3 linked regions of the Lepisosteus oculatus genome follow. The main gene of each other region encodes a partner of the protein of the gene in region 2 in a complex. Links are inferred from orthologs where the notes say so. Each region holds a gene or a part of one and is shown on either strand. Other genes may lie near its edges.

The links.
Region 1: dhx16 (region 2) and cwc15 share a complex: the UniProt entries of both Homo sapiens proteins name them as parts of the minor spliceosome. The link is inferred for Lepisosteus oculatus from reciprocal best matches to the Homo sapiens genes DHX16 and CWC15.
Region 3: dhx16 (region 2) and snip1 share a complex: the UniProt entries of both Homo sapiens proteins name them as parts of the minor spliceosome. The link is inferred for Lepisosteus oculatus from reciprocal best matches to the Homo sapiens genes DHX16 and SNIP1.

Annotation. Positions count from the first base shown.
Region 1 is NC_090700.1:12,136,515-12,140,265, reverse strand, and holds the start of cwc15 (protein CWC15 homolog), read left to right. Parts: upstream 1-1,358; 5' UTR 1,359-1,420; intron 1,421-2,169; 5' UTR 2,170-2,178; coding exon 2,179-2,309; intron 2,310-2,704; coding exon 2,705-2,817; intron 2,818-3,687; coding exon 3,688-3,751. UniProt on the Homo sapiens protein: Involved in pre-mRNA splicing as component of the spliceosome. Component of the PRP19-CDC5L complex that forms an integral part of the spliceosome and is required for activating pre-mRNA splicing.
Region 2 is NC_090709.1:40,380,070-40,383,820, forward strand, and holds the start of dhx16 (pre-mRNA-splicing factor ATP-dependent RNA helicase DHX16), read left to right. Parts: upstream 1-944; 5' UTR 945-1,164; intron 1,165-2,785; 5' UTR 2,786-2,786; coding exon 2,787-2,984; intron 2,985-3,751. UniProt on the Homo sapiens protein: Required for pre-mRNA splicing as a component of the spliceosome. Contributes to pre-mRNA splicing after spliceosome formation and prior to the first transesterification reaction.
Region 3 is NC_090706.1:12,464,215-12,467,965, reverse strand, and holds the start of snip1 (smad nuclear-interacting protein 1), read left to right. Parts: upstream 1-1,016; 5' UTR 1,017-1,162; coding exon 1,163-1,338; intron 1,339-2,268; coding exon 2,269-2,374; intron 2,375-3,216; coding exon 3,217-3,751. UniProt on the Homo sapiens protein: Required for pre-mRNA splicing as component of the spliceosome. As a component of the minor spliceosome, involved in the splicing of U12-type introns in pre-mRNAs. Down-regulates NF-kappa-B signaling by competing with RELA for CREBBP/EP300 binding.

The DNA of each region.
Region 1 (3,751 bases), on a different chromosome or scaffold from region 2:
AGCCAGTAACGGCTAGTTACTGTCAATCACACTGGCCCTTGGATAGCAGTGTGGTCTGGATACCACAGTAGTACCCTTAGGAAAATAACCTTGAAGTTTTATATAAAATGCCAGAAGCTTCTATAAATACCTATAAGTCATCCATAAGTGATTTTCATAAGGATATCCATCCATCTATTTTCTAAGCACTTATCTGATTTAGGGTTGCAGGGGAGTTGGAGCCTATCCCAACAAGCAATAGGCACAAAGCAGAAAACACTTTGGACAGAACTCCAGTCCATCACAAGGTAGATACACAGACACACAGACACACCAGGGCCAATTTTCCCAGAAGCTAATTAACCTACCAGAATATCTGTGGATTGTGGGAGTCAACCAGAGCAACCGAAGGCAGCTCACGTGACCACAGGGAGAACATACAAACTCCACACAGATAGAACCCCAGGTGCACAATTGAACCCAGGGTCCCAGTGCTGCAAGACAGCAATGCTAACCACTGCAACCAACATGCTGCATTTCATAAGGGTATACATAACACAGTCCTCTTCAAGACTGATTGCAAACCAGCAAGTTTCAAGGAATAATTCATTGTATGCTTTCAATAACAATATTGTAACTGCAGACATGTTAATGTCTGTGTGCACATCCAAGGAACAAAAACAAACTATTTGAGTTCAGTTCAATGAAAGCAATTTACCAAGCAAATATGCTGTTGTTTTATCCAACTACAATTTAAAGAAGGGGGCCTTTACAAACAGTACAGTTTTTATAACAGTTTAGTATCTAAATCCCCCCAAACTCCCTATCAGTTGTGTCACATGGGTTTCAACATTTTAACTATAAAAAGGAGATAAAGTAATTAATGCATAGAAGAAAGTGTTATAAGCTCTTCATTCTGTATGAAAGGGTATTTGAACTTAGCTGTTTTTATGGCAAACTATAGTTTTATTGTTATTAATAGTTGTATTACTACTGAAAGTAATTAAATGGTACAAGTGTTGCTGAAATACCTTTGCCCTCTTATTTAAATGGTTGTTGCTGGTACAGAATTGAATGTTACCATTAAATGAAACTAAACTGCATTCCAAAACAACCCAATCTTAGATTCTGGAAACTCTGGAGGAGCACTTGCAAATTCTTAGATACTCTCTAGTACCATGATTTAAGATGACATGGTAAATAAAATAGTTTTAATTGAAATAAGACTAAAAGCAGCTGATGTGATACATTTAAAGTTATAAGTTTATTAAAAATGGCTTGACACATTTATTTGGTGTTTTCCACGAGAATTGTTCATATCTAAAAACGATTTTTTTGCGACCAAAAGACTATTTGTCCCATATGACACTCCGTAGAGCCTCTGACCCGTTCCGCGTTGCAGTCTGGGATATCGGAGGTTCTAGTTGTTGTGGAGCGTAATGTAAGATACAATTCATAGGATAAATAAGGTTTCTTTTTGTCATAATTAAATATCTAAGGCTTTAAAATAGAATGCCAAACATTTTATATTATACATTTAAAAGTGTTACATGTAAATCCGTTCAGATCGTTTTAGGTACAAATTATTACAATGTCGGTTTGTAGCTGAACAGCGTTCAATGAAAATTTTCGTACGTTCTCAAAAGGAATATTGTTGAATAATGTCAAAATTAACAGTACAATATTTTTATTTGTTTCGGGATTCTGCTCTATAATTTGTTTTAATTTACACGGTCTAACACAGGTTTCCGAATCTATCAAAACAGTAAAAGTTTCTAGCTTCAACAAATGTGCGTTGAACGCCTTTCTTTTTGTAATCCAGTACCGTGGGATTTCAGTTTAAGAAGCCAAACGTGAAATGTAGCGTTTTTTCACAGGCGTATTCTAAGTCTTCTATCATCGCATGCTAATAAATCTTGGATTTACGACTTTCTTACGTATTACAGCAACTTTGAGGCACTGAACGATAATGTTACACGCATGAACATGTGTCCCATTGCACAGAGGTGGAGGTGTCGGAACTACGTGCTTGGCTGCAGAAAACTGCTGTAATGAGTTTCACCAGGTTTACTTACGGCTGAGAACGAGAGGACCATCAATTGGCACTTGCGCGTAACACTGCCGTTTAAAAAGTTTGCTTCTTGAGCACAGTGAAAATATTGCCCTTTGCTCCGTTTTGCGTTTTTCCAGTGAGTGACGATGACTACAGCTGCCAGGCCTACCTTTGAGCCCGCGAGAGGAGGGAGAGGCAAAGGAGAAGGAGACCTCAGTGCTCTGTCCAAACAGTACTCCAGCAGGGATTTACCTTCTCACACCAAAATCAAATACAGGTTAGGCCTGCTAATCCAGAGTTGGGGTGGGGGGGATTTTATTTAGCAGTAGGTTCAACCACTCCTTGATTGTGAATGCTTCTATTTGTACCTTGTATATGATTTGAACCATGTATAGGTTTATTTGTACCTAAAGTTATTTATCTTGCAATAGTCATTATTTTTTTTCTGTGTAAAGAAGATTGGCAGGTGATGTTCTCACTCAGCACCTTCTTCTGAGAATGAAATTTGTCTTTTGGGGGTGTCTGGAAGTACATAAGCTCGACAGTATAGGTAGATTTCATTTTGAGGTAGAATTTTGAATTAGTTCCCTACTTTGCAACACATCTAAGTCTCCTTGTCTTGTCCTGTTTGCCAAGTATCTTCTGTGCTCACACACATGATATTTCTCTCAGGCAGCCCACCCAGGATGCCCCCGAGGAGGTGCGTGCCCGGGACTTCCGCAGGGAGCTGGAGGAGAGGGAGCGAGTGGTGGTCAGGGAGAAGACCAGGGACAGGCCAGCCAGAGGTGAACGGCACAGCACTAGCAGTTCAGGTTGTGCCGAGGCCTCCGAGCCAAGGCACCCATACTGTTTTTCAAAACCTGTGTGATGGGCAGGAGGAAATTGTGTCCGTTTGTCTTTTTGTCAGAATTAAAGGGGCACTGCAACACTATTTTAATATTTCGGGGTTAGAAAGGATTCAGCATCGATGAGGGCATTTCAAACCACAATAAAAGTAAAATGTGCACAGTAACTTGTAAAACCTCCAATTTACATTAAAAATGGATGAAATTTCCAGGTATGCACAGTGTTATATTCAGGGTTTCAGAACAAAATTTCTGGTGAGGTGTTGCAGCCCTGTGACTCTGTGAACAAGCAGGCTTGTGAATACATCTCATTTAATACATCTCTCGACTTTCAGATGGTTTTGCCAACAAATACAACTTATTTGTTAACTCTGTATGCAGATCACGTTGGAACATTTCTGCGGTGAAGTGTCTGCTGCACAGCCTGTCCTTATCCACTCATACATCACATTACATTAGTCATTACGGTGACTAGTGAGCAGGATGGGCTGCATCATGTCACAGTCCGTGGGAAGTGTTGCTCTTGCCTGCGGTGAGACCAGGGGTTTGCGATAACATGTCCACAGTACTTTCACAAATTTCGCGATTTTGTGCTTCATTCAAAATTTGTATTTTTTTTTCCTATAACGTTGATAAATTTGTTTTGTAACGGAGATTTAATAACCAGTCTGAGAAATTCTGACTGCAGTTCCCGTTTAAATGACTCCACAGCCATAGTCGATTTAAGGGCCTCTTGAGCTCATGCAGTGTTGTATATGAATCAAAGGCTTCTTGATGGATGTTAATACCCATGGTCTTGTTTTATTCCAGAGCACACCACATCCTCCTCCTCTTCTTCCAAGAGGCCACGGTTAGACCAGATCCCAGCAGCCAA
Region 2 (3,751 bases):
ATTATTATTATTGAGAGACAGGCTCACTGTTCCTCAGGCTGGGACAGGAGATCACACACTGTATTATTATTATTGAGAGACAGGCTCACTGTCTGTTCCTCAGGCTGGGACAGGAGATCACACACTGTATTATTATTATTGAGAGACGGGCTCACTGTCTGTTCCTCAGGCTGGGACAGGAGATCACACACTGTATTATTATTATTGAGAGACAGGCTCACTGTTCCTCAGGCTGGGACAGGAGATCACACACTGTATTGTTATTATTGAGAGACAGGCTCACTGTCTGTTCCTCAGGCTGGGACAGGAGATCACACACTGTATTATTATTATTGAGAGACAGGCTCACTGTCTGTTCCTCAGGCTGGGACAGGAGATCACACACTGTATTATTATTATTGAGAGACGGGCTCACTGTCTGTTCCTCAGGCTGGGACAGGAGATCACACACTGTATTATTATTATTGAGAGACAGGCTCACTGTTCCTCAGGCTGGGACAGGAGATCACACACTGTATTATTATTATTGAGAGACGGGCTCACTGTCTGTTCCTCAGGCTGGGACAGGAGATCACACACTGTATTATTATTATTGAGAGACAGACTCACTGTCTGTTCCTCAGGCTGGGACAGGAGATCGCACACTGTATTATTATTATTGACAGGCAGGCTCACTGCTCCTCAGGCTGGGACAGGAGATCACACACTGGGCTGGAGTGGAAATTCTCGGATTAAATTTGTCATTTCAGGGACGAAGGTCTAATCCCAGAGTATTTATCACAGGGCGGAAGAAAGCTCATCCGCCTGCAGTATTATATACCCTCAACTTGGGCCCGGCCAGGCGGAACATGCGGTAGTGAAGACGTAAGACGCGTGGTGCCGCCAGGGGGTGCTCTGGCGTTCCTCTCCCCGCCTCGCCTGCGCCCTTTGACCCGAACTTCCGCTTCCGGGTGAAAGCGGCGGCGGCGGTGGTGGGGGGTCAGATGTTGTTATGGCGTGTGTTTGAAAGTTGAGGGTGTGGGTTCGGATCTTGATTCGAGCGGGACCGGTTCCGGGACCATGAGGTGCTAGGAGCGGGCTGCCTGAAATAAAGAGCGAAGAAAACAAACAGCGCGGACGGACAGGAGACCGGTTCGGACGGGAGGGTCGCCGAGAGAGAGACATGTATGTAAACAGTTCAGCTCTCGGTTTTCAAGTCGCTGCACTGTAAATGGTGCGAGGTGTAGTCATTATCTCCCAGTATTGACATAAAACTGTGTGTTTGCGGTCGGGATCTCACACACATACGACGTTTAGCCTCTATCTGATCATGAACCGGTTTTGTTTATCTGTTGTTTTTTCTAAGTAAATAAAGCACAACCTCGTCTGCTGGTTGTTGTTGTCGTCCAAGCGCCGCTCGTCTGCGCCTTCGTAGCCGGAGCGCGGTGCGAAAGGTGTCGTGTCGTGAACGTGATGTCGTGTGGACGAGACGAGATGGATTTAAAGGCACTGAAGAACTAGTCCAGCTCCCAGTCCAGTCAGTCCAGTCCAGCCTGGAGAGTCTCAGACTGCTCTGTCAGTGTCACTGGAGTCTGATTATAATCCCAGTGAAGAACTCATCCAGCTCCCAGTCCAGTCAGTCCAGTCCAGCCTGCTCTGTCAGTGTCACTGGAGTCTGATTATAATCCTAGTGAAGAACTCATCCAGTTCCCAGTCCAGTCAGTCCAGTCCCGCCTGGAGAGTCCCAGACTGCCCTGTCAGTGTCACTGGAGTCTGATTATAATCCCAGTGAAGAACTGATCCAGCTCCCAGTCCAGTCAGTCCAGTCCAGCCTGGAGAATCTCAGACTGCTCTGTCAGTGTCACTGGAGTCTGATTATAATCCCAGTGAAGAACTAATCCAGCTCCCAGTCCAGTCCAGCCTGGAGAGTCTCAGACTGCTCTGTCAGTGTCACTGGAGTCTGATTATAATCCCAGTGAAGAACTCATCCAGCTCCCAGTCCAGTCAGTCCAGTCCAGCCTGGAGAGTCTCAGACTTCTCTGTCAGTGTCAGTGGAGTCTGATTATAATCCCAGTTCAGAACTCATCCAGCTCCCAGTCCAGTCAGACCAGTCCAGCCTGGAGAGTCTCAGACTGCTCTGGCAGTGTCAGTGGAGTCTGATTATAATCCCAGTGAAGAACTCATCCAGCTCCCAGTCCAGTCAGTCCAGTCCAGCCTGGAGAGTCTCAGACTGCTCTGTCAGTGTCACTGGAGTCTGATTATAATCCCAGTGAAGAACTCGTCCAGCTCCCAGTCCAGCCTGGAGAGTCTCAGACTGCTCTGTCAATGTCACTGGAGTCTGATTATAATCCCAGTGAAGAACTGATCCAGCTCCCAGTCCAGTCAGTCCAGTCCAGCCTGGAGAGTCTCAGACTGCTCTGTCAGTGTCACTGGAGTCTTATTATAATCCCAGTGAAGAACGCGTCCAGCTCCCAGTCCAGCCTGGAGAGTCTCAGACTGCTCTGTCAGTGTCACTGGAGTCTTATTATAATCCCAGTGAAGAACGCGTCCAGCTCCCAGTCCAGCCTGGAGAGTCTTAGACTGCTCTGTCAGTGTCAGTGTCAGTGGAGTCTGATTGTAATCCCAGTTCAGAACTCGTCCAGCTCCCAGTCCAGCCTGGAGAGTCTCAGACTGCTCTGTCAGTAGGTTTTAGACGTGTGCTCTGGAAGTGTAGAGGTGTGTGTGTGTGTGTGTGTGTGTGTGTGTGTGTGTGTGCCCTGTCACTGTACAGCCTCAGTCATGATCCGTGTCTCTCCCTCGCCCTCAGAATGGCCGGCCTGGAGCAGTGGGTCAGTGACCAGCTCCACGGCCTCCTGGGCCTGAGCGACCGCTACGTGGCGCAGTTCCTGATCGGCACGGCCAAGAGGAGCGCCAGCGCCCAGGACTTCCTGTCCCGGCTGAGGGAGACGGGCACCATCGACGTCGACCAGCGCGTCGCCTCGTTCGCCGCCGAGCTCTACGCCAAGGTACCGGGCCCCTGCCTGCTCCCTCCCCCTCCGGCGCGGAGGCAGCCAATCGCGGGCCGGTCGCCGCGGCGCCTCGCCGGGGAGCCGGCGCTGATTGGACGAGCTGCCGGACTGGTCCTCTTTCGCCGACGTCACGGTCGGGTGTTGCCCCTGGCAACCAGAGGGCGCCAGTCCGCTCCCCCCACACAGCAGCTCTCAGTGGGGAGGAGAGCAGAGGGATGGAGCCAGTTCAGAGAGGGGGGTGATTAGGAGGACATGATGGGTCAAGACCAGGGGGGTATTTGACCAGGACACTGGGGTAACACCCCTACTCTTCTCGAGAGACACCCCGGGATTGTTAATGAGCACAGAGAGTCAGGACCTCGGTTTGACGTCTCATCTGAAGGACGGTGCCTTTTTACAGTCCAGTGTCCCCGTCACTATACTGGGGCATCAGGACCCACACAGACCGCAGGGTGAGAGCGCCCCCTGCTGGCCCCACTCACACCTCCTCCAGCAGCAGCCTCAGCTCTCCTCCCAGGAGTCTCCCCTCCAGGTACTGGCCAGGCTCACACCTGCTGAGTCTCCAGTGGGGCTGTGAGCTGGGTGAGAGCGCCCCCTGCTGGCCCCACTAACAGCTCTCCCAGGAGTCTCCCCTCCAGGTACTGGCCAGGCTCCCCCTGCTGGGCTCCAGTGGGGCTGTGAGCTGGGTGAGAGCGCCCCCTGCTGGCCCCACTCACACCTCTCCCAGGAGTCTCCCCTCCAGGTACGGGCCGGGCTCCCCCTGC
Region 3 (3,751 bases), on a different chromosome or scaffold from region 2:
GATCTTGAACAAATGGCCGAGAAGAAACCATTTTTTTCATCTGTGTCATAAACACCATATAAAAAGGAATACTTTGGCTCTTAGCAGTGGACGTCTAATTCATATACTATTGAAAGTAGCAGATGGGGCTGAAGACACAAACCTTAATGGTAATAAAAAAAGAGGCAAATGGAAGCTTTAAAACATGTACCTGGATATAGGTTTTTAAAACAATGTCAGAAATGCTACATCATTCGGAACATGAGAGAACTGAAGACCAGGTTAATCAAATATGAAAATAAAATGATTTCAGTTGTTAAATATTACAAATGCTCAGATTCACTATAAAAATACAGGTAAACTAACCATAACCAGCCTTCAAATGTAACTAATCATACGGGCAATATGTTCTGTACTGTAAAAATGTTCTAAATATTTAAAATTTAGAATAAGTGTGCCTTGTAAACATTGAATATTTCTAGCATAAGCACTAAATGTTAAATATATTGTTATATTCATAAAATAATATAAAGATACATTCATTACAAATAACCGACGTTGAGACGTATATTCTCAGGCTTTATGTGGTATATAAGAGAAAATATTAAAATAACTAAGTTTTAACACTCAATTTACAATGTTTAGTTCACCTCCTGGTGTTCCGGGATTTGCGCCAGATCGCAACCTTACAAAACTAGCTTGTCGAAGAACACACGAATACATTAATTTACAGTTAATACGTGACATTATAAATATTATGTGTGGGTTTAAAAAAATCTGGAAAAGCAGAAGCGTAGGCAGGCTGAGACGTATGCCTGGGTCCTTGACGTTATTTACGCAACACAGTTTGTTTTTTTTTAAAACACATTTATTTTAATAAAATATATTTTGAGTATATTATGGAATTTCTATTGTAAAGAATGCCAGTACATCATAAGTCTCACTTAAACTGATTTATATATTGAAAAGTTTATCCCATAGTATCGAATTAAGCGGAACGATATAGCTCGAAAGGCTTGAAACATCCGGATCCCATATACGATGTGCCCGGAACCGGAATAAGCCCGATACGAGTTCTGTGGTAGACGGACTTTGCGTTTGTGTAAGGAATTACATCTGAAAAATATCTGCGATGAGAGTGTTTTAAATTCTCCTAAACGATATTAGACAAATCGTTTGAGAAATGGACAAGGAGAGAAGACACAGAAAGCTGGAGTCCCCTCCTTCACTGAAGGAAACAAAGACGAAAATTAAACAGGAGAGGCTGAGCCCCGTCAGGCCTAAAAGACCTCGCCGCTCGAGTTCGGCGTCAGATCGCAGCAGCGCAAGCCCACCCCCGCACAGGAGAAGAGCCAGCAGGTAGGGAGGGTACAAGAAACGAAAGCTGGGAAAAAAATAATAGGTTTTTATGTATTTACAAATACTAGGCGTTTTATACCGTATCTCACGAAAGGAGCCGTCTTTTGGTAGTGCATTATATACAGCGTTATAGGAGCTGCTGTGATTGAAGGCCTAGCTCTTTCGATTAAGTTAAATACTGGGTACGCCGCACGTTAACTCTGTTATAGTCCAAATGTAGTTATCCGTTAGGAAGAAAATAATTTTGCGGCTGAGATCATTCCAGTGAAATCAACATCAACAAAGAGGTCAGGACAAACAGAATTTCAGTCAATATAAATAACTTTGTATTATTTAATAGGGGGAATTGCAAAAGGGGTCAACCCTTTCCTGTGTTTGAACATTACACATCGCGGTACAGAGGCGTTATTAGGTGGGAGTAGTGTAAATCACATCGGCGGGGGTGTCACTTCCACTCTATGATGCTGTATATAGTTAACGTTTAGGCTGGCCTGATTTACTTTGATGATTTTGCTACCTAGGTTCATTATTTTACTCCAGCCGGTAACAATTTGAAGTGCCGACCGATAAGACGTTTTCAGGAAAAGATTTATAGAAAAGTGTAAACCTGCCTCTGTCCATCCCCTTGTACAGTGCAGCACTAGAAATTGCATCAAGCCTCTCTGAGTGATGCTCTGCTGTGGTTGTGTTTGGGATGTGACCTCAGGCATTGCAGAACGCCGTGCTTCTTTATCCTAAGTGGGTGGCTGGGGATGTGTTGAGTAGATTGTGCAGACAGGCAGGTCCTACGGCAAGGTAATGCAAAGTTTTGGGGTTGAAGACTTAGCTATTAAGGTTTCTTACCGTCTTCAGTGTATAAAGTGTTACTTTAGTGACTTGAGCAAGGAGGAATATTTTTGTTGTAGATTTATGTGTGAACTATGTTGATAGGTCACCGCCCAGAGGAAGAGACAAGTCCCCAGTGAGACGGGGCAGCAGGTCTCCTAGGAAGAGAAGGAGCACAAGTCCTCCCTGTAATGATGTAAGAATAAAGCAGGTAATTCACATCATGGCTCCTTTCTGTTTTCCCAAAGTCCGTTTTGTTCTTATGAGGCTATGGTGTTGAGTGGTGACTCAGTGTGGGGTGTGTCCAGACGAGCCATCGAGAATGGCTTCAGCACCTGTGTGGAGGTGGAAAGGGCGACATCAGCACCACAATTCAAGTGTTTAAGATGGTGCCAGAGACCTGGCACTGTAGGTGTCAAAGGGTTTAACTGGAAGTAGGATTGCGTGCACACATTGTTAGCCAGGTCTCTCAGTTAATTCTGATTCTGGGTGCAGAGAGAGAGAGTAGGTGGCAATGGGATAAGTGCAGTATTTTATATTTCATAGAAGTGTTTTAGTGGATGCAAAAAGTCACAGCACTGGTAAGCGAAGGTTTGAAACGTGCTTTGCATTGAAAAAGGCCATTTTCTGGCGAACACACACAAAGTGCATCTTTCTGTAACACTCTGCATTGAAATATTCTCAAAGAGTTTTCATAATCTGAGTACAACCCCAGTGTCTTTCTGATATTACTGTGGATGAGTGTTGAGGAGGGATCACTGCATATGCATTAGAATCTACGCAGAGATTTCTAAATGGGGCACAATGGCTATTTTTGAATATATATATCACATACAACAGGAGCAAATTTCTAATGAACCCCAGATCAGATTCTGTAGTGTTGCACCAGTGAGGTGTGTCTGAAGGGTTTTACATTCAAGCACTGCTCTGAAGTCCAATGAAAGTTATTCCTCTCCTGGGACAGGAATAGAAACATATGCCTTGTTTTGGAATAGGCCTTTTTCTTGGGCTCTGAGATTAACGTGAGATCACCCGGATTGTGGTTGTTGTCAGGAGCGAGATGACCGCCGTGGGAAGGAGGAGCGGAGGCACAGAGATCGCTCAGAGGCGTCTGACGACATGCGGGGCAGAGATGCGGGAAGGGTCCGACACAGAGACAGGGTGCCTGAGCGGGACAGGAGGATGGGGGAGCGGGGCCGGGACAGAGACGCCCAGGTTTTCCAGCAGCAGCAGGCCGAAAGGGAGCGCCACGAAGAAAGGAGGAGGGAGAATCGGCAGAGAGACGAAGATCGCATGGACTCGGAGGACGCGGGCTTCGGTCAAGAGGAAAATAACGATGACAACCCCGTCCAGAAGGAGCAGCCCAATTTCGAACTGTCCGGAGCCTTGGTGGAAGATACCAATACGTTCCGGGGGGTGGTGATTAAATACAACGAGCCCCCCGAGGCTCGAATTCCAAAGAGAAGGTGGCGGCTCTACCCTTTCAAAAATGACGAGCCCCTGCCAGTCATGTACATTCATCGCCAGAGTGCCTATCTCTTAGGCAGACAAAGAAAGATCGCAGACATTCCCATCGATCACCCTTCTT